Linked DNA regions of Kluyveromyces lactis. The protein of the gene in region 1 binds, or shares a complex with, the protein of each later gene. Links are inferred from orthologs where the notes say so. Each region holds a gene or a part of one and is shown in the gene's direction. Other genes may lie near its edges. The genes, in order: NAT1 and NAT5.

What was found.
Region 2: the proteins of NAT1 (region 1) and NAT5 are in contact, whole or in part, in a cryo-EM structure (PDB 6HD5), measured with the Saccharomyces cerevisiae proteins. The link is inferred for Kluyveromyces lactis from reciprocal best matches to the Saccharomyces cerevisiae genes NAT1 and NAT5. Residues at the interface, in NP_010244.1 of Saccharomyces cerevisiae: Pro376, Thr377, Gln378, Pro380, Ile381, Ile384, Asp412, His413, Thr414, Pro415, Thr416, Tyr421, Gln446, Leu447, Asp448, Leu449, Gln450; in NP_014896.3 of Saccharomyces cerevisiae: Asn14, Asn15, Leu16, Gly17, Met18, Lys21, Val25, Tyr66, Ser67, Ile69, Pro70, Leu99, Asn101, Tyr102, Lys105.

What each region holds. Positions count from the first base shown.
Region 1 is NC_006042.1:782,044-799,592, reverse strand, and holds NAT1 (peptide alpha-N-acetyltransferase complex A subunit NAT1), read left to right. Parts: upstream 1-9,113; coding exon 9,114-11,627; downstream 11,628-17,549. Other genes in the region: U4/U6-U5 snRNP complex subunit SNU66, read left to right, coding at 1-3; SLY41 (Sly41p), read left to right, coding at 442-1,785; YHM2 (Yhm2p), read right to left, coding at 2,339-3,265; MCH5 (riboflavin transporter), read left to right, coding at 4,183-5,664; RRG7 (Rrg7p), read right to left, coding at 5,925-6,626; BIL1 (Bil1p), read left to right, coding at 6,818-7,048; U2 snRNP complex subunit CUS1, read left to right, coding at 7,283-8,734; GAL7 (UDP-glucose:hexose-1-phosphate uridylyltransferase), read right to left, coding at 11,739-12,851; GAL10 (bifunctional UDP-glucose 4-epimerase/aldose 1-epimerase), read right to left, coding at 13,742-15,808; GAL1 (galactokinase), read left to right, coding at 16,574-17,549. UniProt on the Saccharomyces cerevisiae protein: Non-catalytic component of the NatA N-terminal acetyltransferase, which catalyzes acetylation of proteins beginning with Met-Ser, Met-Gly and Met-Ala.
Region 2 is NC_006039.1:841,827-858,252, reverse strand, and holds NAT5 (peptide alpha-N-acetyltransferase subunit NAT5), read left to right. Parts: upstream 1-7,024; coding exon 7,025-7,516; downstream 7,517-16,426. Other genes in the region: REV3 (DNA-directed DNA polymerase), read left to right, coding at 290-4,645; TMA16 (Tma16p), read left to right, coding at 4,874-5,446; MRX4 (Mrx4p), read right to left, coding at 5,604-6,752; protein-transporting protein SEC63, read right to left, coding at 7,603-9,612; MEX67 (Mex67p), read left to right, coding at 10,185-11,951; OSW1 (Osw1p), read left to right, coding at 12,274-12,924; DAP1 (Dap1p), read right to left, coding at 13,035-13,493; KLLA0_C09735g (uncharacterized protein), read right to left, coding at 14,032-16,386. UniProt on the Saccharomyces cerevisiae protein: N-alpha-acetyltransferase that acetylates the N-terminus of proteins that retain their initiating methionine. Has a broad substrate specificity: able to acetylate the initiator methionine of most peptides.

The sequences.
Region 1 (17,549 bases):
TAGAACCTTACATATCACACTTATTCAAAGTAATTAGAGTTAAAACCTATGGCATTTTGAATTGACGCTTCCTAGAAAATTGTCTTGCTCTGCCCACAGCAATCACGAGCTAGCACCATTCTGCAGAGAACCCTTTGTGCTTGGCTTTCCACGTGACTGCCAAAAAACGTTAACAACGTCAGCAAGCAAAAACATCACATCGGTCAGAAAGAAAGAAAAAAGACTGGAAATATATAATATAATAACATGGCATCAATTTTTGGCGACTTGTAATAGAAAGAGATACTTCTTACATAGTGACAGTCGGCTCTAAAATCGCTGCTCGCTCCATAAAGTAACAGTTCTTTTCGATCTATTCTATCGTTTGCTAAATTATTCTCATTCAACTTCGTTCCACTCGCTTTATTGATTTTAAGAAGGTGTGAATAAAATAAGCGAAAAATGATTGTAACTTCCAAGAGCGTCACTTCGAAGCGCCGTCCTTCGATCAATAAAACATTTTCAGATGTTAACTTTGTCAACCAGGTACAAATACCGTTCCAGGAAAATTACAGGTCTCATAAACATTCAACTTCGTTCAATGAGGTCAGAAGACTGCAAAATCAGACGTGGAAAGAGCAATTTGTCAATCTATTTCCCAAGGATGTACAAGAGTATTTACCGGAAGTGAATGTTCACATATCTATTTTATGCCTTATATGGTATATGACTTCTTCTGTTTCATCAAACCTGTCAAAAGCCATTTTATCCCGATTTCCACATCCTGTTGGTTTAACGGAATTGCAGTTCCTTCTAAGCGCATCGCTATGTCTCGCGTTTGTAACGTTTGCTAACTATTTGCATGCACCACAGGTATCTTCATCAAAATTGAAGAATACAGTTCTAAACTTCCCGGAAGGAATTCTACCCACTTATTTGAATGGATCATTTTCGAGATGCATATTAAACACTTTCCTGGTACCATCTAAAGTCATATGGTATACAACTTTCCCAATGGGTATTTTCCAATTTGTAGGGCATATTACCTCTCATAAATCCACATCTTTGATTCCAGTTTCCTTGGTGCATTCTGTTAAAGCTTTATCTCCAATCGCGACCGTGTGCTATTATAGATTCGCAAAAGGAAGACAATATAACAATATGACTTACTATACCCTTATTCCTTTGATCCTTGGTGTTATCATTACGTGTTGGACATCCCAAAACAATAAAAGCAAACTTACGGAGACTGATAAAACAACTTTCTCAATGGGTCTATCGTTTGCTTTTATTTCTATGGTGATCTTTGTATCACAAAACATTTTTGCCAAAGGAATTTTGACAGTTAAGTCAAAAGATGTTCTACCCTGTAAGAACAAATCACAACTGAATCTAGTAGAGCTAAAGTCCCAGAAAGACTCACCGATCCAGTTGGACAAAATTACCATTTTATTCTATTGCTCATGTGTCGGTTTTATTTTAACTTTCCCAATCTTCGTATCGAACGAAGTTTTTTCCAGCTCTACCTCAGTTTTCGCTGATTTGTCGCCGAGCGTAATGACACTAGTTCTAATTCACGGGGTTGCTCATTTCTTCCAAGCCATGTTAGCATTCCAACTAATCGGTATGCTAAGTCCCGTTACTTATTCGATTGCAAACATCATGAAACGGATCGTGATCATCGGAGTAGCGTTCATTTGGGAATCGAATTTGTCGATCAATCAACTATTCGGATTGATTTTAACGATCAGTGGATTGTACGGATATGACAAGTGGGGGAACAAAAAAGTAAACTGTTCACTATAGGCACTTCTTTTTTTTTCACTACTGTATTATAAGCATACCTGTTTGACGATGTTCTCAAGCGACTATATTAAAACAACGACATTTTCAATTCCTTTTGTTATTGCATGCATTTATTCTTTCACTTAAAACATTCATCCTCAAACCTTCTAGTTTAATCATTATTTGGAACCTCCAGTGTAAAATAGTAGTTACTCGTTATTTAGAATATACAATTGAAATACTGATATTACGCGCCGTTTACTGGAAAACTTGAGCATCATTTCCACAGTATATATTGACGTGGTTTTATTAAGCTACGATATGAAGACCAGTTTCCGCTAGTTAAGATTCAGATCAGATCAACCCGATACTTCTCAATCAAAAAAAAGTATAGCCAACATACTGGATCAATTTTTTTAAATATGAGTACAGCGGGGAATATTATACTTGCTAAGTATGTAAATCTTATTATGAATTATGAGTTATGAGCAAAGTGACGCGGAAGACTAAGGTATTATTGTTTATGATTTATCTCACAGTGTTTTCTGTTTGTTTGTTTGTTTTTTGACATTTCTTAATGCTTAGCAACTGGAGTTTCACCGGTCAACTTGCCGACAAATTCTCTTGCAATGTCACCACAACCAACCATAAACACGGTTTGCCAGATACCTAAACCAATTCTTGGAGTGACCCCACGGTATAGACCCTTAACACCGTTAGATTGGTAAATGTATCTGAAGGCTTTGCCCACAGTTAAATCCTTTGGCCTGTTTGGATCATTGGTCTTAGATTGCATCTCAACTCTGATAACTTCGATAGGTTGGTTCCAAGCAGACAAACCACCACCGATGGCGGAAGCGAAGATCTTTTCCAATGCAGTTAATTTATCATCTGGATTAGTCTTACCAGTGAATTTTCTCAAACCTTCTTCGACCAATCTAGAGAAACCGAAACGAGAACCCCAGTTGGTCATTTGTCTGATGGCAACAGCATTGACACCCTTGTTAATACCCCTGATACCTTCCTTGTTGTAAATTTCCTTGAAGGCAGCCCAAGATGATTGCTTAGCACCTGCAGCAGCACTCTTGTGCTTGGTAATTTCAACAGTCTTCATACAAGTACAGAAACCCATTGTCAAATATGCTTGTGCTACACCACCAGAAACACCACCCATGATACCAGCACCGAAATTGTTCAATCCCAATTTCTTAAAGTGATATTCAGCTTCTGCAGATACGAACAATAGCACAGCACCCTTAGTAGATGCTTCAATCCATGCCCATGGAATCAACCCTTGGTAGAACCCAAATACACCACCACGAGACCAAATGTGATTAATGGCTTGGAAAAACGTGAATTGTCTATTAGCTGCCATAGTGGTCTTGACCACTTCTAATGGCTGACCTAAAGTAGTCACTTCACACATATTCAAACCGGCTCCCAACAAAATGTTGGAGAATGAAATTGGCTTCTTCTTCAATTCAACTGGCTGGGATGACATTGTTTCCTTCCTTGAACTTCTAGTTCCTTAGCTCTTGTGCTTCCTCACTGTTTTGATGTTGATGCTTCTCTCTTCGACAGATGACTCAAGTATCTAACGAAAGGCTATCTGATTTATACAAGTTCGATCCTGGACCTACTTCAAAAGAATAAAACAAATTGACTCTATAATTGTTAGCAATCAAGACTCAGCCTTAATTCTCCGAAACTCCGAGCCAGTGAAAAACGGAAAACACCCAAATCAATTCTATTTTGTTAAATGAAACAAACAGTCAAGGTTTCTCCTCTAAGGCTTTATCTTTTCAAAGATCCAAGTTTAGAGATTTTTCTTTTCCATCTTCAATGGGATGAAAAAAATTTTGAGATTTCGAGATTCCTGTGGGAAAACGAACAATATAGGTTGCCAGTCCCGGCATTTAGGGCCCTGATAGTGGTTTTTTACACGTGAGTAATGTATTATTTGGTATTTATGTATACAATTTCTGCTTTATGTGGACTCAAATGCAGTCAAACGAGCGTTCTACCGGCTTGTAGAAAGTTTCGTCACGTTAGTGAGGATCCTTGTAAACCAGGTTTAAAGGGAGCAACTTACAAATTTATCTTGTCGATCGTACCGTAAATTGGGCATTGCGGGCATTGCACTTTAGTGTTCAATTCAATGTCAGCATCAACTTTCAGCCCGGTGCAATGTTTACTGTTATGTAATATCTTGGTCCCAGTGTGACTCTTTCCTCGTAAAGGAAAAGCGGATATCGAACGCCGTTCGAAAAATTCGATGTTTGACATATAAAGCGATGAGCAATGAGTGCTACAGAGAGAGAGTTGTAACTCTCTCAGACATACTCAAGAGGCCACCATGCTAGCACTGCTAATCAGAATTCAAGGCATAAGGTGTATACTCTACCCATTGAGGAAAAAATGTCCGAAGAAGTGACTATTGAAAAGATTTCTAGACCAGCTATGCTGTCTCCTCAATCGTCCCGGCAGCTATTGATGAGAAAAGAAGTGGACGTTGATAACAAGTTCGCTGATCTTGAGGCTACTCAAACTTATAACGAGCAAACGAGGCCTGTTGAGTCTGGCGTAAAGAGACCCAGCTTCATTCAGGATGACGGATTGTTTTATCCGGAAGGTGGGTTTGCCGCATGGTTGGTGATATTCGGTTGTTTTTGCGGGTTTATTCCAGTTTTCGGTATGTTGAACACTATTGGTGTCATGGAAAACTTTATTGAAAGAAACCAGTTGTCGAGTACCTCATCATCTACCGTAGGTTGGATTTTCTCCATTTTTTCGTTTGTTAATTTCGCAAGTTGCATCTTTTCAGGAACTTATTTTGACAGAAACGGTGCCAAGGGCCCATTGATTGTTGGTTCTGTACTGCATGTTGGTGGGCTCTTTGGTATGGCTAATTCTACTGAACTCTGGCAGTTCATCTTGTCCTTTTCAATCGTTACCGGACTTGGTAATGGTATTCTAATGAGTCCATTGATCAGTGTGCCTTCTCATTACTTCCTGGTTAAGCGTGGTACCGCAACTGCAATAGCTACCACTGGCGGTTCCATCGGTGGTGTCATTTTCCCTGTTATTCTAAGAAAGTTCTTTGCAATGGAGAAGGACTCGGACCCATTTTATGGTTTCGTATGGGGCCTTAGAACTTTAGGATTTGTTAATTTGTTCCTATTGATTGTCGCTTTAGTCTTAGCAAAGGAGAGATTGCCACATAAAAAGTTAAATGAACGTGAAAGAGCAATACCTACTTGGAGGCGTGTTTTCAACACTTACATCTTGCAAAGTTTTGATATCTTCGGTTTCAAAGATTTGAAGTACACTTTCTGTGTCATGGGAACTGTGTTTGGTGAAATTAGCATAATCTCTGGTATCACCTACTTCACCTCATATGCAATGAAACAAGGTCTATCGCAATCTGATAGTTATCTATTGGTCATGGTAGTTAACCTTGCCGGTATACCAGGGAGATGGTTACCAGGATTCTTCAGTGATATCTTCGGAAGGTTTAACGTTGCAATGATTACGCTAGTGTTTCTTGGCATAATAACTTTTGTGATGTGGTTACCTTTTGCCACTACCAGAGCGGTGTTATTCGCATTCAGTGCCATTTATGGATTTTCTTCCGGAAGTATCTTCAGTATCTTACCTGTCTGCTGTGGACAAATCTCAAAGACTGAAGAATTCGGAAGAAGATATTCTACAATGTACTTTGTTGTCGCATTTGGTACTTTAGTAGCAGTTCCTATTACAGGTGCCATCATCGGACCAGAAAAGAGTTTCAAGGGCTATGACCACTATGTAATTTGGTGCGGTGTCACGTCATTTGTCTCTGCTATATGTTATATGATTTCCAAGACATTAGCAGTGGGCTTCAATATGAAGAGATTCTAAAATGCCATCCACAACTATTCCCAAACTTGTTTTAAAACTTACGCCTTCCCTTCAACATCGAGACATCATTAATACATAATTTTAACCTGGCTACTATATACATTCCTATCTCGTTTTCATGCGCTGCATAATCAGATACACAACCTTTATAAATTTATACATCTTTAAATTAATTAGCATATCATATTTATTACATTCATCATATGTACAGGTTTCATTCTATTTAAACTTTTCTGATAGCGTAATTGCGTGCTAATATTTCATTTTTGTGCTAAGGACTCATAACCTTTCAATTTTAACCATTCTTTGATTCCACAATTTGCAAGTAATTTCGATGCATAGTCATTCTCATAATAATGCTGTAGTTTTCCCGAGTTTTTCACATCGAAGCTTCCATCAGCTAATCTCTGGATCATATCCACTTTGGTAAATACCATTGGTATTGCGGCCTCATTAAACAGCCTTATTCCATCTTTTGTAAACAAAGTTGGAGAGCTCATTATCATTATGCTCGAGTTTCTTTTACGAGCGGGAACTTGCATGGAGAATGATCCAATTAATTCCCGTACCTGGCGGCCAGTAACTTTATCTGAATTGAAAGCCTTACATTGAATGTAACAGTCTAAATATTTATCGGGTTTCACCCTATGTTTCCATGGTTTTATCGATGTAGTCGGAAGTTTCAAACGTTTAGGTAGCTCATCGAATTGTATTTGCATTTCTATAGCCTTTGTTAATGGTAAAACGTTCCATTTGCCCCGAATATCAATGCCGCCATCATATGAACCGCCAACTACCTGCATATCCTCCAGTCGGAGCTTATTCATTAATTCTCGTACCACCGTGAGCTCATATAGCGTACCTTGAAAAACGGTAGAGTTGGCGATGCTCTCATTGGCAGCAATATACTTCTGTAAAGTATCTTTGGGAAATGAACTTGCAAAAACCCCTTTCCAACTCATCTGTATACCTAATAGGCTATCATGGACAAAATAGACCAGCTGGCGTTCTCGCCATTGTTAGTCTCATCACCTCCATGTATCATTTGTATCACCAAAATTTGGATCGGATTCAAATAACTAAAAAAAATGTAAATGTCATAGAACCGACATACCTTGAAGTCTATTGATCTAGCTTACATACAGCCATATACATGCAGTCATCACTTCAAAAGATGATTTCGACACAACCAATTGTTACCCCTGAACCAAAAGGATCAGAAAATAGTGGTAATTCCAACGAAGATGTTCCCACCGTGTTTGAGATAGCCTCAGATATTCAGCAAAAGTTACAGGACTTACTGCGGAAAGTGAATGACGATGATGTACAATTTAACAAATTCGCCGATTCAATCAACGATAGACTCAAGAATTTAGAAGAGTGATTCGTTATTATCCATAGTCATATAGCATCTATCACATGTATACAAGACCGTTGAATGTTGCCATATCTGTTCACGTATAATATAATGGTATAAATTTCAACATTTAATTGAAAAATATATGTGGTCTTAATAAAGGACATAAAAAAGGCAAATTGACAGATGAGCATACAATAGTATTCTGGCTCGACTGCTTATTAATATAACAACAGTCAACTGCCCACCAGATATTGCACTATGGTAAAGAAAGCCAAGGCTAATAAACGCCGTTCAAAGAATAAAAATGGATCTGTGAAAGAGGATGCAGAAGAAAGGAAGAAGAGGCTTTCCAGTTTGTTACAACAAGTGTCATCAGAGAATGGCAACACCTCGCAACAGGTAATTAATGAACCTTTAGTTATCAAGGATGAAAGTCTCAATAAAGTGTTACAAAGATTTAAAGCTTCGGCTACAGGGGCCGATGAGGATGATGATTCAAAACGGGAACAAGCCATAGTACGAAAAGAACGGGCTGATATTGACGATGAGGATGCTGAGGGTTCCGACAGTTTTGAGGATCAAGCGGATGAAGTACTTCAAAATATATCAGAAAGACAAAAGAGACTTGCTAACAAACCAAGTATTGCTGTTTTGAAAGCTTCAGTACCATATCCGGAACTCATCGAATGGTTTGACTGCGATGCGCAATGGCCTTATTTCAATGCAGCTATAAAGACAACACATAATACAGTGGGGATCCCCAGACATTGGCAAATGAAAAGAGGTTATTTATCTGGACGATCAATGATGGAAAGGAAGCCATTTCAATTACCTGAGATTATTAGACAAACCGATATTGAAACGATGCGAGAGACTGTTCCCTCTGGAAACGAAAAGCAAGCAGAGAAATTGAAGGATATTACCAGAGCAAAAGTTCAACCCAAGCTAGGTGTATTAGATCTAGATTATAAAAGGTTGTACGAAGCATTTTTCACTTTGGGAAAGAATTGGAAACCTGAACTATTGTCATTTGGTGATTTATATTATGAAAACAGAAGTTTGGATAGTGAACTCGAATGGAAACAAATAAAGACACGATATAGACCAGGGTATCTATCGGAAACTTTAAGGGAGGCATTAAATCTCACGGAGGGGATGCTCCCGCCTTGGTGTCATGAAATGAATAGATTAGGACTACCCAAATCATACCCTGGTATGAAAGTCTGTGGAATAAATTGGGAAATCTCTAATCTTACCGGTACACAATACGGATACTACCCTGAAGATACTTTGAGAATACCCAAACAAAACTTATTCGGAGCCATGTTCTCATTTGAAGAATTAGAAGATCAAGACGCACATATTGATCCAGATCCGTTGAACGAATCAATTTCCGACGATGAGGTGTCTTCAGACGCCAATGAAGCGGAAGCAACAAAAACAGAAAGCGAGACACATGAAAACAATAATTCAGGCTTAGTGCCAATTGATGGAGGCTCTGTAGTCAACCAGCACTATGATGAAAATAGACCCTTATTTACTGTTCTAACGGAAGCTAAATCAAACGAAGTCGACGGATCTACAATAATCAGTTCCACTACCTCTTACAATATTACGAACAAACGATCAACAAGCGTAGAGGAGAAGGACGATGATAATGTCTTACATAAAAAACAGAAAGTGGAAGAAGAGCCTGACTTCCGTTTTTGATCTTTACATTAACTCGTTAGAAACCCTACGTTTCAAAAGTGTCAGCTGTTTCCCTTTAATTACGTAAAATATTTGTAAATGTGAGTATGTAACTATATCAAAAGTATCATTGGATTGCAACATGTTTTAACTTTATTGCAGTAGGTGAGTAATAAACTCCTTGAATCGTACCAGCTCCGCTTGCTAACTATTACCTTCAGTTCGTTCAAACCCAAACATTTCATTTTCAATGTATCTCTAAACTGAAAAATTTACAATAGTCAACGTCTAAATCATGAAAATTATCAAGTTCAACAATCATATTCATGACTGAATAAATGGAGAAACACTCTTACTGGCTTGCTTATCTACACTCAGCGACCCATTGATCTACACTAGCATGTATAAAAAAAAGGGACTATCTCACGGGAAAGTGGGACTTCCAATTGGTAGGTCTAAGGATGACAGCAATATGTTGGAAGCACTGCAACTATATGAAGGTAAAAATTACAAGAAGTCGTTGAAGATCTTGGACACAATCTTGAAGAAGAACAGCAGTCATGTGGACTCTATAATTTTGAAGGGATTGAACTTGCAATTCTGTAGTACACCTGAAGAAGCTGCTAGTTACATTGATAAAGCGTTATCCAAAATTAAAGGCACTCTTGTAAGTCCAATTGGTGGACACTTATTAGGAATTTATTACAGACAGGTGAAAAATTACTCAGACGCTGTAAAGTGGTTCAAGGCCGCATTAGAAAATGGTTCTACAAACACTCAAATCTATAGAGATTTGGCGACATTGCAATCTCAAATTCATGATTTCAAAGGCGCGCTGGAATCGAGAAAAAAGTACTGGGAAAACTACAGAGGATATCGTGCCAATTGGACCTCATTGGCCATAGCACAAGATTTGAATGGGCGTACGCAAGACGCAATCAATACTCTTTCGACATTTGAAGAGCTTGCTGAAGGCAAGTTGGGTGAACCAGAAATGTATGAGAACAACGAATGTATCATGTACAAGAATGATCTTTTGTACAAGAAGGCAGGCAACGATAAAGAATCCTTGGAAAGAGTTTTAGAGCATTTGGAAAAGATTTCCGACGATGTTTATGATAGATATGGCTGGTTAGAGAGGAAAGCTTCTATTTTAATGAAACTTGGTCGGTCTAAGGAAGCCTCTATTGTGTACAGAACTTTGATTAAGAGAAGTCCAGACAATTTCAGATATTACAGGCTATTGGAAGTTTCACTTGGAATTCAAGGAAATGAGAAGTTGAGGAAAGCTTTATATGAAAAGTTGGCTATATTTTACCCTAAATCGGAGCCTCCTAAATTCATTCCGCTCACATTCCTCAAAGATAAGGTAGAATTAACCGCGAAACTCAATGATTATATCATAACGCAGTTAAATCGCGGTGTTCCAGCCACATTCAATAACATCAAACCTCTTTACAAGAAGGAAGGTATTCCGGATATTGTTGAAAGTATTGTATTACCTTATTATGCTGAGCTATCATCGACTGATCAACCAATCCAATTTGTTTGGACAACTTACTTTTTGGCTCTACATTATTTGCATAGAAAGCAGTTCGAGCAGGCTAATGCATATGCTGACAAAGCAATGAACCACACTCCAACTCTTGTTGAGGTATATATTCTCAAGTCCAGAGTCCTGAAGCATTTGGGGCTATTGGAAGAAGCTTCAGAAGTTATTGATAAAGGTCGCGAACTTGACCTGCAAGATAGATTTATTAATGCAAAGACTGTAAAATACATGTTAAGAGCTGATAAAATTGATGAGGCTACTAAGATCGTGTCATTGTTTACCAAAAACGACCAATCTCCAAATGGTGTACCAGATTTACACCTCCTAGAAGCCTCTTGGTTCATTATCGAACAAGCTGAGAGCTTCTTCAGATTGTATAAAAAATCTTGCAAGGAATTAATCGGCTTGAAGAATAAAGATATAACTGCACTTACCGTTGATGAGATAGAATCTCATGGAAAACTTCTAAAAGAATTGGAATTCAATGTTAATAAGTTTGAGGGCCTTTCTTTAAAACGTTATATGGCAATTCCTAAGATTTACAAGCAATTTGAGGATGATCAATTAGATTTCCACTCCTATTGTATGAGAAAAGGGACACCAAGAGCCTACGTGAATATGCTTGAATGGGGAAACCACCTCTATACTTTGCCTATGTTTATTAGGGCTATGGAAGGTGCTTCAAGGATAATTTTCGGAAGATTTGATTCTTTGCAACTAACTGCATCAGTTGAACAAGAGCATGATGACAGTTCTATCAAGAAGAAGACCAACAAAAAGGCCAAAAAAGAAGCTGCTGCTTTGAATAAAAAGAAGGAAGAAGAAAAGGCCAAGTATCTTGCCTACCTTGATGACAAGGATCCATTTGGTGAAACTTTACTCAATGATCCAAATCCTTTGGAATTATTCGAGAATCAATTTTTGAAACTATATTTATCCCAAACCACTGATGATACGAGAAGACATTTGCTGGAATTTGAATTCCATTTGAGAACTGGTAAGCTAGCTTTGGCTCTGGGCGCACTCACAAAATATGTTAAGTTAAATGGTAAAGATTCTGTTGCAGCAAGTATGGCATTGGTGCTTTTAGAGAACACAAAAGACTCTTATCCACATGATGTCATAGCCAAGAAAGTCGCCATTAAGGGTATAGAAAAGGAATTCCCTGATCTGTTGTCAGAATCTGGCGATAAGGTACAATTTGTAACATGCACATATGGCAAAACCTTGCCATCATTGTTGATACTTTATCATCATTCGAGTGAGTCCATTCCAGAACCAGAAATTAAAGAAGACATCATTTCTGTTCTAGACAACGAAGATCCTGTCGTTCAGCATTCAATATTAGAATATGAATTTTAAGTAACGTTAGGTAGGATCTAAAAGCTTACGAATGTGACTAAGTTTGGAAATTTTATGTGAGTATAACTTGTAAATAAGTTTTCCTATACGGATATTTTCTGCTTTGCCTGCTCAAGTTTTGCTTTCTTCCTGCTCAAGTTTTGCTAAATAATGTACTTCACCACTTAGGGCTTTGAGTCTATCTGCTGCTTGTTCAGCAGTCAAATCTCTTTGTGGTTGTCCTAATAACTCGAACCCTACTAAGAACTTTCTCACAGTGGCCGATCTTAGCAATGGTGGATAGAAATGCATATGGAACCAAGCGGCTTTCAATTCTCCTTCGGTAGCGTTGAGAGAGGCTTGGTGAAGACCCATGGAGTATGGGAAACTCGTTTCGAAGAGATTGTCATATCTGATGGTCAAGTTTCTGATGATAGATGCTAAATCTTCCCTTTCTTTATCAGTAAATTGATTCAAGGATGGGATGCGACGTTTTGAGAGGACCATGGTTTCGAATGGCCAAACGGCCCAATATGGAACAACAACCAAGAAAGAATCATTTTCGCACACAATTCTTTCCTTTTCGCGAAGTTCTAAATTGACATAATCTTCCAACAAGTGAGCACCATGTTGATGTTCATATTTCTCGAAGTGGTCAAACTCTTTTGCAGGTTCGCTTGGAATGGAATCTAAACACCAAGCCTGACCATGAGGATGTAAATTAGAGCAACCCATAGCAGTACCCTTATTTTCGAAAATTTGTAGATATTTATAAGGCTTGTTCTCTTCCAAGGCTTCTTTCTCCAAAGTCTGGAATAAGTTAGTCCACGTTTTGACAACATTCATGATCTCACTTTGAGCCATTTGTGGGAAACTTAGGTTATGTTTTGGAGAGAAGCAGATCACATAACAGTTACCTTTCACACCTTTCAACTTGAACAATCTCTCCTTCAATGCGTCGCAATTCGACACCGTCAGTTCTGGATCTGGTTGTTCTAATTTCACAGCTGGATAGCCGTTAGTGAAGACATATGTAGATTCGTAATCTGGGTTCTGCTCACCTGTAGCCCTGGTAGTACCGGGACATAAGTAGCATTTATCGTCGTGGTCTGGAGCATCGTTTCTACCAGGTTTCTCCTGTTGACCTAACCATGGTCTCTTGGCTCTATGTGGAGATACCAAAATCCAAGAATCAGTCAATGGATTGTAACGTGCATGTGAGTGATCTGTTAAGTCAAAAGACATTATATTAACCGTTTGAAAACGCTGATGTTAGTTGTTATTCTGTTTTGCTCGTATCAATCAATGTTGATGATTGGTTTTCTATATCTGTATGTTAAAAGAATTATTCGCAACTGAATCCAATTCAAACCAATTCTCGAATGACAAGTCTATCCTCCATCTACAGCTTTACTTTATATATTCGCAGCTAAACTTACTTGATGAAATAAATTGGGCACTCTCGTGCTGTTAGCACAAGTAGCTCCACAAATACAGTGCTCCGGTGCAATCCTGTACCATAATGAAACAATACACCATTCAGTTCCTTAATCTTGTTGACGGTGCTAAGAAACTATCCGTACAGAGAGTGTAGCTCGTGGACATACCCAAGCGATGAGCTTACGGCCTTGCTAACCTGCCGTAAAGAGAACGAAAGGGCCTTCGAATCAGCTTGTCCATCGGACCACAATCATCCGAGACGGGAACGGACCACTCAACTCCGAAGTTTCCATATCCAATGAAAAATAATAACTGAACCAAATCCGGTGACACTGAAGCTTTGTCGTCCGACACAACTTTTATCATCATCGTCATTTGCTTGCATGCAGCTGGTCACAAGCACGTTGGTTTGCGATCACATTCGAAGTTCGATACTGTCATGTAGCTGCGTGTTAGGAACGACATGTGGGAAATAAAAAAATATTATCTGTCATGTCAATGGTATTTGTTTATTATTATGGGGTTTAATTATGCAATATAAGTCGTAAAAGGTAAAACTATGTAGTATGTGTATATATTGATTCAGAAAGAAAACTGTTGACAAGAAACATACTCTCATATATCAACAATCATGTCATGTTATTGTGTTTAAGTTTTTATTTGGTTTAGTGTTTTCTATGTCAAATGTATTTCCATCACAAAGTCCTAAAAGTATAAGAAAGCTTGTGGCCATAGGTTTCTCCCGCTGGAAGAACGACGCTCGATTTCCATTCAGGATTGTTGACAGCGTCAATGTATCTACCGGGTTCGCAACAAATACCAGCTCTGTTTTCGTATTTATCTTTGACATCGACGTAATCACCGGTGTAGACCTGGAAAGTTGGCTCAGTGGTAGCCACTTCCACTTCCAACTTAGCATCTTCGTTAGATAGTTTAAACACCGGTGTTAGCGGAGAAGATCTTGTATCTAGTTTAGCAGGTAATCCGCTTACGAAGCAGAAATCTAAGACAGGTTCCTTCTCTGTGATTTCAGTTGGGGAATCATTGAAAGTAGCCACTTGGGTATATTTCTTTAAGTTTCCTGTTGGGAGCAACTTGTTATTCACTTCGAGACCGGTGTTGTCGATCAATTGTACTTTAGATCCCTTAATAGTAGCTTCATTGAATTTGTTCAAGTTGAAATATGTGTGGTTAGTGATGTTGGCACCTGTAGAGCCTTGGCCCGCGACCTTTGATTCGTATTCAACAGTCAAAGTCTTCTTTTCGCTGTCGACTTTATATCTTACCAAAGTGGACAACCTGGCCGGAAATTCAGTTTCTTCATCTACGTATTTGAAATCTGCAGTCCAAATATGAGCCTCCGGGTTCTTAACGATTGGACCTAAGAATTTCTTAGAGTGGTAGCTGTTGATTCCAGAATGAACTACATTACCATCTTCTTTGCTCACAGTTAGTTGTATCCTCTTACCATTGATTTCGAAGGTACCATTAGCGATTCTGTTAGCATAGGGGCCTACAGTAGCGCCGAAGAATGGATTGCTTTGATCCTTGTATTCGGTTTCATTATCCAACGATGCAACAACAGAACACCCGTTAACAACAATGTCAACGATGGTAGCACCAAGGTTAGCAAGTTTAACTTCGAATGAGGTACCTTTACCTAGAGATACAACTCTGGATGAAAAATCTCCCTTATCCCCAAAGAATTTGGAGTCCACACCTTTAATCTGATAGCCGAAAGGGTTATCTTGAGTCCACTTCCACAGATCCACACACGCCTTATTAACGTCTAGTTCCGTTTTCCATTCTAGCTCATTTGTTGCACGATCACATTTAGCGGTCAAGTTCAAAACATCACCGTCTCGTCTAGCAGTGACAACATATTCGAAATTGAAACCAATAGCATCACAGAAGGCACGGTACATTTGTAGCACAGTGGTACCATGACCGGTACCTAGATTCCATTCCCTGCAAGTACCAGCGTATTTTTCCAGATATTTTAGTGCTGCTAGATGACCCTTTGCCAAATCGACAACGTGGATATAGTCTCTAATTGGCGTACCATCGACGGAATCGTAATCGTCACCAAAGACGTATAGCTTTGGTCTTCTTCCAATGGCAACTTGAGCCATGAATGGTAACAAGTTATTTGGAATACCCAAAGGGTCTTCACCGATGACACCAGATGGATGAGCACCAATAGGATTGAAATATCTTAAGATAGCAAAGGAGAAAGACTTATCAGAGAAATGTAGATCTCTCATCATATCTTCAATGGTCAACTTGGTCTTACCATATGGGTTAGTTGGACCTGTTGGACAGGTCTCTGGAATTGGAATCATATTTTCGAATCTAGTGGCATCACCGTAAACAGTGGCAGAAGAGGAAAAGACTAACTTCTTTACATCGTGACTCTTCATACATTCTAGAAGGTTGATAGTACCAACGATATTGTTGAAATAATAAGTCAATGGAATCTGAGTACTTTCACCAACCGCTTTCAAACCGGCAAAATGTAGAACGGAATCGATCTTGTAATCATCGAACAACTTGTTCAATGGTTCCAGTTCGCATAAATCAATCTTTGCGAACTTGATCTCCTGGCCAGTCAACAATTCCATGCGAGCGACAGATTCATAACTGGAATTAGACAAGTTGTCAACAACAATACACTTATAACCAGCTTCACAAAGTTCAACAACAGTATGCGACCCAATGTAACCAGCACCACCAGTCACCAAACAGTATTTATCTTCAGACATCTTAGCGTTGATTTTTTTTTTTTTTTGGCTTCGAGGAGTTTCCTTTAACCTGATTCAGATTATTGGTCCTTCTTAGTGACAGCTTCTATAAGAGATATCCTTCAAATGGTAGTCTATTATATCAATTATATTGAAGGAAGGCAGTTTACTGTTTTTGCCTTCTGTTCTTATTTGGATTCAATTGCCTGGACTCAGTGTTTATATACGTATTGAGCATGCAATCATACGTGTTTTAAGTAAAGGGGATTTGATCCTCAATGTCACTTCAAGGTGCAAGGCAAGCAGGTTGTCGTGTTATGATAGCAACTTATTAGTAATTTCTGTTTCTTTCCTTCTTTCACGGTGTTTAATTCCTAACTCATCTCTCGTTACCAATAGTACGGTCGGTAGCTTGCCTGCTGAGAAACGAAAAATCTGGGGCATCCGGGGCATAGTCTTCCGCTCATTCCGGATTGGTGTATTCCGTAGAGCGGATTCGTTCAATCCGTATGTATCACGTGATACGGATTGAAGTGATCCGAAGAAAACTCGGTAGCCGTTCTGTTAAATGATGGAGCAGGCTTCCAAAGGTCTATAAAAGAACCGTTCTATTGAATTGAAATTACATTTAAAAGGTTTGACAGTTCGAGACATATCTTGATACCAGGTTTGATCTTTCAATAGACGGGTGAGAATATCATTCAACCTATAAAGTTGGAAATTTGATCGTAGAATCCTTTTAAGTGACAACAGGTTTGAAACAAGGCTGAAATATAAGAAATAATAATGTCCGTTCCTATTGTGCCAACAGATTTTGCTCACGCTCCAAAATTGGAACAATTGAAGAATGAATTTGTGGAATGTTATGATACAGATGATTCCAGGAAGTTTTTTATAACCAGATCTCCTGGTAGAGTTAATTTGATTGGTGAACATATCGATTATTGTCAGTTTTCAGTGTTGCCAATGGCTATTGAAAACGATTTGATGCTAGCGTGCCGCTTAACTTCTGAAAGCGAGAATCCATCCATTACTTTGACTAATCATGATAGCAATTTTGCTCAGCGTAAGTTCGACTTACCATTGGATGGATCCTTGATTGAAATTGACCCATCAGTGTCAGACTGGTCCAATTATTTCAAGTGTGGCCTCCTAGTCGCTCAACAATTCTTACAAGAGAAATACAACTTCAAGGGTCCAGTTCATGGTATGGAAATCTACGTCAAGGGTGACATTCCTAGCGGTGGTGGTTTGTCTTCAAGTGCTGCCTTCATCTGTGCGGTTTCTTTGGCAATCATATACTCTAATGTTCCTGCAGGAACGCCAATCCTCAAGGATGAATTGACAAAGACTACAGCTGTAGCGGAACATCATGTCGGTGTTAATAACGGTGGTATGGATCAAGCAGCCTCCATTTGTGGTATCGAGGGTCACGCTTTGTACGTGGAGTTCAAACCAGAATTGAAGGCTACTCCGTTCAAGTTCCCAGAAGATTTGCCAATTTCCTTCTTGATTGCGAACACTCTTGTGGTTAGTAATAAGGCGGAAACCGGACCTGTCAATTATAATTTGAGAGTTGTTGAAGTCACCGTCGCTGCTAACGTTTTGGCTCAGAAATTCGGTGTTACCTTACAAACTGAAGGTAACCTAGGTAAGGGTACCCTAAGAAACTTTATGGATTCATATTACACGAAATATGACAAATCGTGCCGTAAGCCATGGGATGGCGAAATTCAAACTGGTATCGAAAGATTGAATAAAA
Region 2 (16,426 bases), on another chromosome or scaffold:
TCGGACAACTCCAGTATACGAGAATCACTTTAGCTAAAATATGATTATTCATTACGTATCAGAATGATCACAATATCCGGGTAATCATGAATACTAATATACCCAACTATAATCAAGTTTAGCCCAACTTTGCAGGATTGCTCATCGCTATTTCTCATCTGAAGTTTGGTCACAGTATATCACCCATTAATCAAGGATATTACTTTTATACCATTCACATCGTTTACATCAGAAGATATAACTGTGCTACATTAAGGTGACTGTAATCTGATATGATGATTACTTGCAGATGAGTGATATTTTTGGTTCTTTAGACTCCAGCTTAGACTCCAATGAAATCAACATACAGATTAATAATTCAGACAGCTATCAATGCTTCCCAACTCTATTGGATTGTAAAACTAGTAAGAGCCTTCCTGGACTTCGATTTGTTCAGGTGCCAGTACTAAGGTTCTATGGATGTTTATCTACCGGACACAAAGTTCTAATTCATTGCCATGGCATTTTCCCTTACATATTCATCAAATATGACGGACATTCGAATGATAAAGCATCAGTAATACGGAATAGATGTACCAGTTTGCACAAAATACTTGAGACACGGATGATTGAAACTTTTACCAAAACAGATTTTAAAGAGAAGCTAACTTCCCTGAAATACATTGCTAATGTGTCCGTTGTCAAAGGCGTTCCATTTTACGGATACCACGTAGGATATGAACCTTACTATAAAATTACTCTTTTGAATGGTTCATATAGTAATAAACTCTCTGAATTACTTAGAGATGGCAGAATATTCACCTCAAAAGTGGATGTCTTTGAGGCTCATATACCTTATTTATTGCAAATGATGGCTGACTATAACTTATTTGGTTGCGGATGGTTAAAACTATCCAAATGCTATTTTCGGCAACCTGTTCTGTTAACTGATCTAGATATGAATGAAATATTGCACACGGACTCTTTGGAACGTTTTTTGAAAAAACACTTGCATCCGAATCAAAATGTTTTAGACATAGATCCATTTCATCGAATTGGAAAGACCTTTCTTGAAATGGATATTATTCCACAGTTCATTTTAAACAGAGAAGAAATTCAATTCAGGGATTTACACCATGATTTTGTTGAGCTTAAGAAAGACCTTCAAACATCAGATCAAGGATATGTTAATTCTACAAAAGATATATGGAAAGAGATACAACTGCTTAGGAAAAGGAAAGGGCTTGCTGAATATGAAGGATTAAAAGAAATATTTCGAGAATCTCAATTACAATATAATTGGAAAGAAGATGAAAGGTTGGTGAAACACTTTGATGAAGCTAAGAAACGAATGTCTTCCCTTTTTAACAAAGAAAAAGCTTTAAATTTTGACAACTTTGTGGATCCTTTCATTAATGAGAATTTTTTTGCAAGTACCAAAGACGCCCTTCAAGAATTATGGCCCAAAATACCAAGGAATGCTAGTAGTAAAGTATTCTGTTGGTCAGAAGTAGAATTCAAATTGAACAACCAATATACTTCTGTTCGTGAACAAAAAGTAGCGTCTACAAACACTAAAAATATTCCCATTTTGCTAAATATTTCCTCCAATGAATCGCACTCTTCACATGTCAGTTCCAAACGTGCGGAGGAATCTTCATGTCATGACGATATTGCTAATGAAGCAATTGCTAGGAAACTGGCAAAACGAAAAACATCTGCTATTAGAAAGTCAACATTTCGCCCGATGATCAGACCTAGCGTAACACACGCTAACATCAAGGAGAGTTTATCTGCTAACCAAATTGAAGAAGTTCAGTATAACGATCCATTTTTCTCCAATCCACTTGATTGTAAAAGGCTACAAACGGAAATGGCTGGTCGAGTGTTCAAGCTATCAAGTGATCATATCCTCTTTAAAAGAAGCATCCGTAGTAACGATACAACAGCAACATTAACTTCTTCAGGAAGTGTATATGCAAGAAGCAGATGGAAATATATAAGACCAAAGCCGTCTTTTAAAAGAATAGCCAATGCGATGAAGCCTTTCAAAGGTAAATTCTCGATGGTGGAGGGGAAAACACCAGAACTACCATTCGGATACAAGTTCAAGAGCAATAAAATAGAAAAAAATAATAACGCTTCTAATAGAATGACCCATTTCACCATGGAAATTCACGTCAATACTCGTGAAGATAAGTTTCCAGATCCTAAATATGATGCTGTCAGGATGATATTTTGGAAAGTGCAAGATGGAACTTTTCCATTCGACCTGGATATTACTCAAGAAGGTGTTTTGATATTTCTAGACGATGTCTCGACAGAAAATTCATGGAAAACTGCCGATCCTAGTGTTCATATAACTGCTTATTACGATGAATTGGAAATGATATATGCATTAGAAGATTTAGTGAGGTTTTTCGATCCTGATATCTTGTCAGGATACGAAATACACTCTTCCTCGTGGGGCTACTTGATTGATAGATGTCACAAGGGACATGATTATGATGTGGAAGATGAACTCTCTCGAGTCGATTATAACCAGAGTAGCAAAAAAAAAGACAGATGGGGTTACACTCACGCAACAGCATTTTCGATAACGGGAAGACAAATGCTAAACATATGGAGGCCTCTCCGCTCTTCTTTGAATCTTCTCGATTATACATTAGAAAATATTGCATTTCATGTTTTACACCAACGGTTACCTTTTTATTCGTACAAAACCAGGACAGAGTTCTATGAATCTATGGACGAAACTTCAAAAAGGTGTCTCCTATTTTACTGGATCACAAGACTTCGAGTAAATTTCAAGCTTTTAGAGACTCAGAATATAATTGGAAAAACCATCGAGCAAGCAAGACTTATCGGGATTGACTTTTATTCTGTCCTTTACCGTGGCTCACAATACAAGGTTGAATCCTTTTTAATTAGACTTTGCAAATCAGAACAATTCATTCTGATTTCTCCAAGCCGAATGCAGGTCCGTAACCAAAAAGCACTCGAATGTATACCACTTGTGATGGAACCTTCATCTGCCTTTTACAAGAGTCCTTTATTAGTTTTAGACTTTCAATCATTATACCCATCCATTGTTATGGCATATAATTATTGTTACAGCACTATTATCGGAAGAGTTGAATCATTAAATACTAAAAATAATGAAATAGGTATCACAAGGTATGATATCCCTGAAGATTTACTAACTTTAATATCTGATTATATCACCATCTCACCAAATGGTATCGTCTTTGTCAAAAAAGAACTGAGAAAGTCAGTTTTGGCTAAGATGTTAAAGGACATTCTTGATACGAGATTTCTAATGAAAAGTACTATGAAGGAACTTAATGATGAACATAACCTTATTAATATGTTGGATAATAGGCAGGAAGCCTTAAAATTACTTGCTAATGTCACGTACGGATACACATCTGCTTCATTCTCTGGGCGTATGCCATGTTCCGACATTGCAGATAGTATAGTTCAGACTGGCAGGGAAACATTAGAGAGGGCGATCGAGGTTATAGAAACTACTAAAGAATGGGGGGCTAAAGTAGTTTATGGAGATACAGATAGTTTATTTGTTTACCTTCCAGGGAAATCGAAAGATGAAGCATTTGTAATCGGAAGGCAGATCGCTGAAGAAATAACAAGACAGAATCCGAAACCCATAGAGTTGAAGTTTGAGAAAGTGTATCATCCGTGCTTTTTAGTAACCAAGAAACGTTATGTAGGCTTTTCCTATGAGTCTGAATATCAAAAAGAACCAAAATTCGATGCAAAGGGTATAGAAACTGTTCGAAGGGATGGAACACCAGCACAACAAAAAATCGTGGAAAAGGCACTTAGAATTATGTTTGAAACCACTGATTTATCCATGGTAAAAGAATACTTAATTGGAGAATTTGACAAAATTATCACCGGCAGAGTTAATATTCAAGATTTCTGTTTCGCTAGAGAAGTTAAGCTAGGCCATTATAAAAGTGAAAAGACTGCTCCCCCTGGTGCCCAAATTGCCATGCAAATGATGGAAGAAGATGCACGTACAGAACCCCAATACAAGCAGAGAGTACCGTATGTCGTGAAAATGGGAAAAATAGGTGAAACTTTGAGCTCTAGATGCCTCTCACCGGAGGCTTTCTTAAGGTCTAAAACGTCTAGGTTGGATTATACATACTACATTGTCAAAAACATTATACCTCCTCTTCAGCGGTTTTTCCAGTTAGTAGGAGTTGATATCATGGATTGGTATATATCGATGAAACATACTCTTAATCCTCTAAAAGTAGACTCTGATGACGGCAGCCATGAAGGAAGGTCTTTGACTTCAATCGTCAAAGGCAAATCTTGTCTGCGCTGTCGCAAGAAAGTTCACCCAAAATTCATTAGTCCTATATGTGGTGAATGCAGGATCGATAAAAGCAACACCACCCTTTTTTTGGAAGAGTCAGTCAGACTAAAACAGTCTAAGATGCATTCTGTTATGAGGACCTGTCAAACCTGTTCATACAAGTTTCATAAAGATGCTATGGCACCTTTGGACCAAATTGCACTCAAGTGCCAATCTAAAGACTGTCCGGTATACTTCAGTAAATTCAAATACATGAACGGTCTCAAGGATAATGATATGAGAGATCTCTTGATGGGACTGATAGATTTGGACTATTGAATTTCAAATCACGTGACTTTTAAATCAATAAAAACTTTTCTTTTTGCTCATCATGGATTTCGGCAAAAAAATTCAAAAGCGATGAGCAACTGAAATTATAGATCAGCGATGAGCTCCTTTATAAAATTGAATGTTAAAAGCTAGTGAGCACATCAACTCAGGCAAGATTGGTAGTAAGAAAGAGACGGGGTATAATATCATTATCTTAGCAAATTAAAATCGCTTTAAATGCCTGTCACAAAATCGTTGGGTAAAATCCAGAAAGGATTAAAGGGTAAGAAATTTACTGTTCACCCAAAAGGGCGCAAATTCCAGCAGCTAAACAGAGCTACCCTTCGCGAAGAGAAAGTTCAGGCAAAAAAGAGAGCTCACAACGAAAAAAGATCCAACGAGTTAGCGCGTATGACTTTTGTACAGTCAGCCATTAAAACTGATTCTTTGAAGGAAAAAGAAGTATTCGATTATAAGGAAACTGCAGTACTAATTCAAGAGTTTATTGCCCGCGATGATAATGAATTAAATGAACTAAAATCTAAGAGAAGACAGAATAGACCTCCCACTGGTAGGCAACAGCTTTTGCAACATAAAAGAGATTTGGAAATGGAAGAATTCAAGTCAGGTTTTTTGTGCCCAGATCTGACAGACCCTGAAAATGTGATCTTTTTAAGAGCTTGGAATCAAACTTTTGGAGGTTTGAGTACTTTAAAACTGATAAGAATCAATGATAAAGGCGAAAAGGTTCTTGGGGGAACAAAACCTGTAAAACCTATTGGTGAATTAAAAGACATTGAAATGAACTGATAATGTCGATCAATTTCGGATGTCATTTTCTACACACACGGTTGATCAGAAGGGTATTGTACTATAGATATATATATAAAGATTAACTATTCATACATTTTTAATTCTGTTTTTCCTATATGAGTGTCATTCGGATTGTACAGTATACAATATTAATTTATCGATTGAAATAATTAATATAGTCGATTAGTGGTTGGACAACGGCTATGTATCCTAGGGTAATACCAAATAAAGTGATAGCTATTTTTCCTTTGGTCTCTATGAGTGCTGGTCTCATGTAATTCTTCTGGAAGACAATCTTGTAAGTATCTCTGTTCACATCGCCTATCAACTTCCACCCTCCGTTCTCGTATTGATTTATTACGGCCAACAACTGATCAGGTGCTATTCTACCGCCATTTACAACTGCGAAAAGGTCCTTCTTTTGTACATGCACAAGAATAGTGGATTCTGGTGGTTCGATCTTTTCTTTCGATTTAGTAACATCATAGAGAAGTATTTCTCTAACTTCGGTCGGCGCAAACGGGTGTATATATCTTTCACATTTCGAAAGGTATGAGCCAACTGAAGAATTCTTCCTCAATCGAACAGAAGGTAAATGTTCCTGAAATAGCAACGATCCTGATGATATACGTGAAGCTGGCCCTTGGTTGGAAGACCATTTATATTTTCTCTGTTGTTCAAGAACGAACTTCTTAATTTGTTTCTCTTGAGTTTCTGCTCTCTCAAGGAATTTCTTCAAAGCTTCAATGTCTTTGTCCGTAATTGTTTCAGTTTCAGTGTCCTTTTTAGGGTGAGCCACATTGTTATTTGAAGATTTGACCCCTACTTCGTGCTGTGATGGCGTTGGATGTAATGGCCTCTGTAGTTTTGGCCGCTGGCGTGGTTCGTGAAAGGTTGCCGTTTTCTCAAGGTTCTTCAATTCCTTCTGCAAATTGATCGGTTTTGGTGTCACTACATTAATGATTTGATTGGAATTAACCTTAGTAATTGCGTTGTGTATGTCATCGTCACTTATACGCTTCTGCAAAATTAATAGCTGTAGCCTTTTTATTTGCTTCTTTAGTGTATCATGAGGAATCGAAAACTTAGCTATTAACTCCAAAAGTACTCTTCTCTCTCGTGAGGAGTCAGATGGCCATGCATTGTTTGCTATCGTATGCTGCAATGATGTTTTAAATGCTTTTACCGATCTGTCTTTGGGTATAGCGGGATCCAATGCCATATTCCAAGACACATTTCCCTTTGCTAGTTGGAAATAAGTGGTATGGAATGTCCGTTTATGATAGTTTATGCATTTGAGCATCGATGTTAGATTGGTTTCGTTGTTTTGGCAGTTTAGAGGAAATTCTAACAGTGTATCTAAGGCTGGTATCTGGTATTACACTCTCGATTTTAACATTGTTCGCTGTTTCGATCCTGAGATACACAGTTGATTTGAAAATTCCATAGAACTTATAATCCGAAGAAATAATATCTTCAAGAGAGATACAATGACAAGAATTACTGCTAGAAACCAGTACTTTCTGTACGTTGAGAATCAGCAGGTAAGGTATCCATATATAGACAATTGAGAAGATGGGTAGAGCATTGGTTACGATTGATAACGTTTACGCTAACAATTTAGGAACATTCAGAAAGATCATTGATGTTGTGCTACCGGTTCAGTATCCAGGTGAATACTTCGAGGAAGTTGTGGACAAGAATGCGAAAGGAGTATTCTATGCACAGCTAGCATATTACGGGGAAATTGCGATTGGTGCTGTAAAATCCAGATTAATAGCCAATAAGACCGGCGGAGTCAAACCAGCAGGTATGTACATCGAAGTATTGGCCGTACTTGAAGCTTACCGTGGAAAGACAGCTGGTTCATTAATGTTGAAGTATATCGAAGATAAATGTAAGGAAAGCTTTCAACACGATATATACGTGCATGTTGCCACCGACAATGAAACAGCAATAGAATGGTATGAGAAGAATGGCTTTTCCAGGGATGGTGACATTTTGGAAAACTATTACAAGAATACCACTGGATCTAATGATGCATTTGTATATAAGAAGTCAGTATGAATATATATCTACATATGAAAAGCCCTGTCAATTTAGTGATGGTTAATGCGTGCTCAGATAATTTATTAGGAACTGTAAGTAAAAAGTTAATCTGTCTTGGAGGATTTTTCAGTGGTTTCCTCAGTTGCTTCATGTTCATCTTCAGTATCAGTATCTATATCAGTGAAATCAGAGTCCTCTTCTAGATCATCACCATCGGATTCATCAAAGTCTTCGGAGGAATATCCAGTATTTTCTTCGCCTTCATTTCCTGAATCGTCAGAGTCTAGTTCTTCCAATATCTCCTTCTTAGGATCTGTTTCAATTGGAGTATTTTTCACAGTCAATGGAACAGTGAAGTCTAAATCAGAACCAAAGTAATCTGGAGACTTGATAACGACTCTGAAGAAATATGTGCCTTCTTCTTTAGGAGCAGGCTGAGCGAAAGGAATTGAGAAAGTGCCGATGGTCCAGTCTTCAGCGTTAAATTCCTTGTCTAAATCTTTAATAACTCTTTTATCGAAATTGACATCCAAATTTTCTAGGGACAATCTTTGGGCCAAGCTTGGGGTTTGAATTATTTTACCATCCTTTTGTGATACCACTAACGCATACCAGCAAGTACGTCTCTTTGTTGGAAGCAAAGGTGCGAAAGTTTCAGGCAACAATGGTTGTTCCAACAATTTTTCGAAGGGATCCTGTTCCAATAACAATGGATCATCGCCAGCTATTTTTTCAGCTGGGATCAATGAGTTTGGGAAAAGTTTGTGTCTTGGAGAACGAACCAACACTTTAACTTGAATGTGAGGAGTAGAACCTGGTTCTGCGGTATTTAGAGAAGATCCACGAACTTTGAAGGAGCCCTTGACGAGCTTCAACTTAGGAATACGAGACGCTACTTTCAAAGTTTCATTGAGTGCTGTTTCATCTTTTATTCCTAGCATCTTACCTATCTTATCATCTGGGTATGTGAATAATTTACCCAAGGCACAAATATCATCTGTAGTTGAATCCAAGAAATGCTCTTTATCCACGTTTGGTAATTGAAAGATTTGAGAGTGTGGCGATAACGGAGTTGCCTGTACCACTGTCTTATACGTGTCTAACGCCATCAATGCAACTTCAGTGTTCCTAAAAGTGGATGCGATTTCTATCAATTGATGGAAAAGTAACGATGATTTGGTAAGCACATAGTTCCTTGCATATTCGTTTTCAGTCTTTTCACGGTTAACATGGGAATGGATAATGTTAGCGATGTCCACGGAAGACAATTCTGGGAATTTCAATTGGAATTCTTTTGCTTCAGAGATCCATTTAATGATTAAGTCTGGCACAACAACATAAGATGGTTTGAAGTTGAACATTTTGTCAACGAAGTGAGATGCTGTTTCAGAATGAATACCGTGTTTTGTGTACTCTTGCGAAGTGCTCCACCATTTAGAAACTACCATGGGTAACACAAACGCAAGTAGAATGAAATATGCAAAAACAACAAATGGGGAAGTACCTCCTTCCACCAAGAACTTGGGCAAAGCGATACCGTGAGAAGTAGATTGAGGACCATCTGGATGACCATACTTTCTATAATTTTCCTTCGTAATTTCATCAGTTAAAGCCTTATAAGCCTTGTTAATCATCACGAACTGTTCCTCCATAGCCGTTCTTTCAATCTCATTTAGGTCCTTGGAAAGCTTATCGGGATGGAATTTGACAGATAATTTCCTGTATGCAGACTTGATCTCTTTATCGGTAGACGAAAGCGTCACACCAAGTAACTCATATGGATCAAAAGCCGCTGCTGCAATCTGATAGATAGCATCGTTGGAACGAATATGATAAATCAACATCGAAATGAGCACCCAACCAACGGTAATGAAGTAAATTCCCTTCTTGGACCTTTTCTTCTTATTAGCAAGTCTATATTTCCGAACTTCTTCTGAAGTATATTTTTCGTGCAATTGACTCCATTCTGATGAAGAACTCTTATCGCTGGAGTCCCCAACAATCAATCTATACAGCTCAATCAATGTTACCGGTGTAACAGCCACAAATAACACCGTGAGTACGAAAAATGGCCATGTGGTGCTTGCCTCATCGTAATCATAATTCTGCGGCATGGCGTCGTTGTCTGTTCGTCTGCTTGTCTGTTGTAGAACCAAAAGACTGCCAATAAATTAAGCCGCTACAATAAAACACACAGCAGGCAGCAATCAAAAAAAGTGAACCACAGTGTACTATTAAACAAAAAAGCCTTCAAACTGCAAACAATTATTCCTCTGATCTAGAAAAGTAGTTAACAGTTAACTTATTTCGATTTTAATATGCCAGTCTGTATTTTCCAAAAACCTTTGGGTTTTTTTCCTTCTGTTTGAAACACTATACGTATTCAATACGGCAGAGCTTAGAAGAACAAATAGAAGAGAAAGACCAAAAAAAAAAAAGATATTTATACGTCACGTGCTCGTAATATATCACATGACCTTGAATTTTCTGTTTCGATTTGGTCGATCATCTCTTTCTACTAAACTGAAGAATAAAATTAAAAAAAAAAATGCTAAAAACCTAGAAATAATCAAAAAATGTGCTAGTCTCATTGGTAATTGAGATGGGAATAGAGATTGAAAGATGAGGCTCACCGGGTTAACCGATTTGGTTGAGAAAAGTCTTGTGATATAGCGTTACTAGAGTGATGCAAGTTAGTGGTTTTGGTAACGTGAATCAGATTGGTGCTTTGGCACAGCAAAACCAATTGGATAACTTAGTCAGCGTTAGCATTCGTGGATGGACTAACGCTACTCAACAGGATTTGTTGAATTTCATTTCGAGAAAGACCAGGATCTCAGTGAGAAACTCTGTGGTTCAAGGGGACACTATAGTTGGTTATGTGACACCGCAGGAGGCAGATCAATTGGTGAAATTTAGTGGGTACCGGTTTGCAGGCAATTCATTGAAGATTCACAAGGCAGCCGGTGGGAACACAAACCCTAATACGAATGATACGATAACCGTTCTTCGTAATGTGCTTTTGAGAAGATATAATGTGCAAACGAGGATGTTGGATCTTGGTAATTTGTTCAATGATCCGGAGTTGGTGCAACGCGGTATGGCTCCGAAAAATGTTAATACGCAGTCCAAGATGTTCCCGGCTATGATGAAAGTGGCTTCAAAGGAGCCTAGCATGGTTGTTGAATCGATCAACCTATCTGATAATAATTTGAGAGACGTCAATGGTGTTACCACGTTGGCACAGACTTTCCCTCATTTGAAAAACCTATGCATCGCCAATAATAGTATTAGTCGATTCCATTCTCTTGAAGTTTGGAAGAATAAATTCAAAGAGTTGAGGGAGCTTCTGATGATGAATAATCCAATTACATCGGATCGTTTATATCGTACAGAAATGTTAAGGATATTCCCCAAATTGGTGATTCTAGATAACGTTGTCGTTCGTGACGAGCAGAAACTACTGTCTATCTATAGCTTACCGGTACAACAAACCCAGTTCTTTTTCGAAGATAATGGATTGGCATCATCGTCAACAGATTTTATTACCAACTTCTTGAACTTGTGGGATTCGAATAGAATGCAATTGATGGGTTTGTACACTCCACAGTCTCAATTTTCCTTAAGTGTTGATTCTTCCGTTCCAGCTGCTACTGTACCTAATGCTCAAACGACTCCTACATTCGGTCATTACTTACCATTTTCAAGAAACATTTCCAAGATATCTAGCGACAAGACCATCCAAGAACGGTTACGTATAGGGCCCGAAGCAATTTATGAAGTGTTCGGATCTCTCCCTATGACAAAACATTTTTTGCAAGAACAACCTGATGCTTACTCTGTGCAAGCCTGGACCTTCCCACAAGTTCAAGGGTTTGTTATCACTCTTCATGGCCATTTCGATGAAACTGCCAAACCTGAAATTGACAAGAGCAAAACATCACAAGGATCATCTGCCTCTAGAGGAAGGAGATACAACCATGGATTTACGTCTACGCCGAACATCAAACTTTCACAGAAATCCTTCGATAGAACAATGGTCTTAGTTCCAAGTCCAAATGGTAGTGTCATCATTGCATCTGATTCGTTGACGATAAGGCCATTCTGTGATAGCGCTTGGTCTAAACCACCTTCTCCACCACATCTCCAAGCTCAATCTGTGCAACATCAGCCACAAATGAACGTGCCCCTCTCACAAACTCCGCCAAATACATCATCCATTCCTGGCCAAATCCCGGGAGTTCTTGGATCGACACCTTTGCAATTCTCACCGGAAGTGCAAGCAAAATTGTCACCTGTACAATTAGAACTACTTCAGAAGTTACACCTTGAAACAAAGCTTAACGCTGAGTACACTTATATGCTTGCCGAGCAAAGTCTTTGGAACTATGATAATGCTATCCAAGGATTTAGAAACAGTGCAAACAATCTACCCAGAGAGGCATTCATCTAAAAGTATTGAGCTAATCATGTGCGCTTCTTTAAAAAAGAACATCTTAATTCATTCAGTATAATATATAGTTGCATCTCACACAAATAAATTAAACTAAGTATATCCATCTATTTATATCAGTTGGATTCAAGGTGACTTGACTCTGTGACTATTTTTTATCATATATCCTGTTTGTCACAAAGTGTACGTCAATAAAAAAAGGGCCTAACATTCAGAACATTATACTAGCCAATGAACTCTTAAGCAAATTACAAATTGTGATTATAAGCTCACTACAGTTTTGCTGAAAACTCACTATTCCAAGGCAATATAACTACATTAAATGAGATCGATACCAGAACCTCGCCAATCAAAATATAATCGATTTAGAAGGTTATTTAATAAGGTGCATAATTGTGTCACTTTGAAAAGATTGAAAAGGCGATGGAACCTACACAAGTTGAAGAAGAGCTCAAGGAATACAAATCAGAGATCTGCAATCCCAATAGACCGTATTGCTAATCTTCCTACTGGTATGTCGCATAAATCGAGTAACATGAAACCATTGCTTCTAGTATCGTTTAATAAAGGTCAGGAGAATTCGCCAAAGGTGAGAATTCTAGAAACCAATGGACATTTGAGATCTTGGATCAGCGGTAGAAAATTCTCAATGAAACGAATAGTGAATAACGCATCTGTAGAGAGAGATCCTTATCAAAATTCGAGGCACACAGTTAGGCAAGAAGTAGCAAAACACGCAGATTTAAAGGTCAATTATTCTGAACAAGGAATCGTGAAAACTGTCGACATACCGTGCTGTTACACAGAAGATCCGAAGTTGATTAATATAGGACAAGAGCACACTTTTAGAATACGTGACTATCCTTCTTTGAATCCTAGTCAGCGAACGACGAGAAATGGTTTCAGGAGTAGAAATCAGCCTGAACCTGTTTCGCGCTTCTTCTTTGAGGAAGTTGCAGAGACCATGTCCTAATCCATCATATACAGACATATAAATTATCTGGACTTGTAGTACACTAGAAAACAGAAGCATAAATAAATACAAAAATAGTCCTTAATCTCACCAAGGCCTGAACAAATATTCTAATTGTTTACACCGGGTTCAGCTTCCAAACTTCCTATGCATGGGTACTTCTTTTGGAAATGCGCAGCCCATCCTTCTAGAGCTCCCCGCTCTTGCTCGTTTAAGTCCTGGAGAGTATCTATAGGTTGGTCCCAGTGTCTTACTGTATCCAAATCAAATGAGTTTGTAGCAAGTCCTCTGGATGCATCATGTCCAGCAAAATTAGAGTATGGTCCGCTAGGCCCGTAAAATTGTCTTCCTTGGCTGCAGTCGTACACTTTCCCCAAAACTGCGATAAAGATCTTTTCATCGTCATGTCCATTGAATTTGGATAGCGTTCTGGGATAAAACTTTCCTTCCACAATTGGGTCATTTGACTTAGAGCTAGCACCTTCGTTGCCGCTACCACTTTGCGTTAAACCCGTTGGGTCAGCTGTGGTCTTCACAGCACCTGTCAAAAAGTTCTTAATAAAAGACATTTGCTTTAAGATTGAGACTTGATTATCGAAACTCTATGTTCAGACTTAGTTACAACAAAATCAACCAAATCGTAATTGAGAGTCTAATGGTATATAGATAATATTTCCCTCTGGGTCCTTTATATAGAAGATCCAACATTTTTGTATTCCTTTATTCTGAGTTGATCTTTGCAGCGAAATTACGGCCAAACCTTTTTTTTTTCATCAAGAAACTGTTGTATTCGGGTACGTTGACAACTTATGGAAGCCATACGAAACAGTTCAATCAGAGAAAACAAAATTCAGACCGATAAAAATACCGGCAGGAAATTGGTTGACAAATCTATGCACTTTAAAGTGTATCAATTGATACTTGATTACCATTTGGTAAACAGTAGCTTGTCATTTATGAAGACCTTCTCAAATGGGACTCCCATTCATAGTAAAAGTATGAATTCTTTGAAGAGTATATATGTATTGTTTTATAAAGGAAGCAGAAAACATATTTCTGCGGGGAAAACGTTATGCTGATTGGGATTGATATTGTGAACAAAAAAGTTTAAAATGAATTAGCCGTTTCGTCAATAAATGACTGAGCTGAAGATATTAGCAGATTTCCTGCAATGTTGATTTGTTTTTGAGCTTCTTTTAAATTCCCCGAAGTCAATGCATCTCTCACACCAGGGAATGACCATGAATCATAGCCATTAGTTTGGGTCCAGAGCGTTGGTCCAAAGAGAACATTCTTGTAGAATTCTCTATCGGGAATACCACTTGAAAGAGATTGTCTCTTCATAATATTCATTATTTTTTTATTCCAAGTCCATCTGTGAACCGAAACTAACGACGGTTCCACGCCTTCGTCTTCCATCATGACGATATTATTCCACGTGTGTACCCATGCGTTCCATTCGTCACTGATTTTTTTCCATGCTTTCAAACCTTGCTGAATGGAAGCGTAGTCAAAGTTATTGCCACCTTGTTTCTGTAAATCCTGGAATAAAATATCTAGATTTGAAACGTAATCACGGACATTAAAGGGTAGTAAAGGTTCGTCGATAAGTCTTAACAACATTTCATAGGTGTAAATGAGGGTATCTGCGACTTGTTCCCATGCACCTTCAGTTCCCTTAATTTCTTCAGACCAATGTTGAAAATCATCAGAACAAGTTGAAATTGGAGGAGTTTGGTTTAAGACAAATGGGGAGCTTAACACAGCAGTGGGGATGCCGTTCGCCAAGTATGCAGTCCAATCACCGTATTGTGCAATGTTTCTAACGGTTACATCAAACTGTTTAGTATTCTTGAAAAGACTCTGTAATAGTGGTGTTGCCTGGACATCAAGCGCACGACGGGCTTTCGGATCGACACTTAATTGAGAAATATCAATAAATGCATAAACTTCACTTTTTAATTGATTCATTTCGGTTTCCATCAATTCGGTGGCACCTACGTGATTATATTGCGCGCCATCATATGAAATGAAGTAGATATTTCTTAGTGGCCTCCAATCGTACTTATATTTGGTTTGTTGGAATAACTGTAATAGAGCCATCAAAGAAGACGTACCGAAATTTGGATAAAGGGTTCCCTTGCAAGTTGAATCATGACTAGCAGCGATTATGATGGCCTTATCCTTTTGTTCTTTACCCTCTATTTTACCCAACACGTTCCAGCTAGGTTGTAGTGTCTTTTCAGCGTTGGCTAGCCTTAGGTTGCATTTGACATCATCTTTTCTGCCACTAAACCAGGAGTCCTCGAATTTGATACTGGGAGAACCATCATTTAGAATTGATTTAAGTTTCAGACCCTGGTTATACGAGATAGGTATGGTTGGGATGTGCGGTACTAACTGTGACTTTTCCAATCCGATTTTCTTTGGCGAAAGAGTGCTCCAACCAGGAGACAAAGCATCACCAGTACCGTACTGAGGAATCGCTACTGAGAGTTTCTGTATGACATCACCATCATTTCCAAAGGGCTTTGATATAAAAATAATACCTTTGATACCATGTTTTTCAGCGACAAGTATCTGCTCACTAGGTAAGTTTCCATATTTCATAACGAGAACAGTATTGTCGGAAAGTAACCCGTTTTCTTTCAATGATTGGATATCAGCGACAGTCCCATAATTTGCATATATTATATCGGCATTCTGAATGTTCCCGTTACTGCTTAATGGGTTAAAATTTTCCTTTGATAAAGCAAATTCATGCACTTTATTGTCCGAAGTAGTAACGCTAAACTCAACCTCGTTTGGGAAATTCATATATCCTTGGAACGGAACCTCCTTCATTAATTTTAATCCATTATTTTTGAACGATTCTCTGATATAGTTCGTAATAGCATAATCACCTTTAGTACCAGCTAAATGAGGCATGCTGCTTAAGTATTCCATATCTTCCTCTAACTTCGCATAGTCGATGGAACGTCTCGCGTAATAGATTAATTGGTTTTTATCCGAGAACATTCCGATAGTGGCGGTGCTCTTGCTATTGGGCATCAATCCGCTCATAACCACGGTGTACACAATCACTGACATGAAAAGTATATACACAAATCTGCGGAGGATTAAAGGATTTCCCAGTTTGCTCAAATATAGATCAACCTTCGCAGAAGCCATTTGATATACCTGTACGAGAGGATCGACAACATTGTTCTTCATTGGAAATATCAAATTATCCTCAATTCTGGTCTTTAACCTTTGAAAACGACCCACTGAACTAATAGTATCTTCCTGTTCTATATCAAGTTCCATTGGAAGTATATCAGGACGCGATTCGATGTCGTATTCAGGAGGATTTGGCGGTAGTAAAGATTCATCCAGGTCAACGACATTTTCCGAAGACACATCTGGAAGACTGACATCCTCATCTTGACTGACGCCTTGGTACCGCCCTTGTGCACGAGGCATTTTTCAGGCTTTAACGAAATGCTCTATTCGCTGGCTTAAC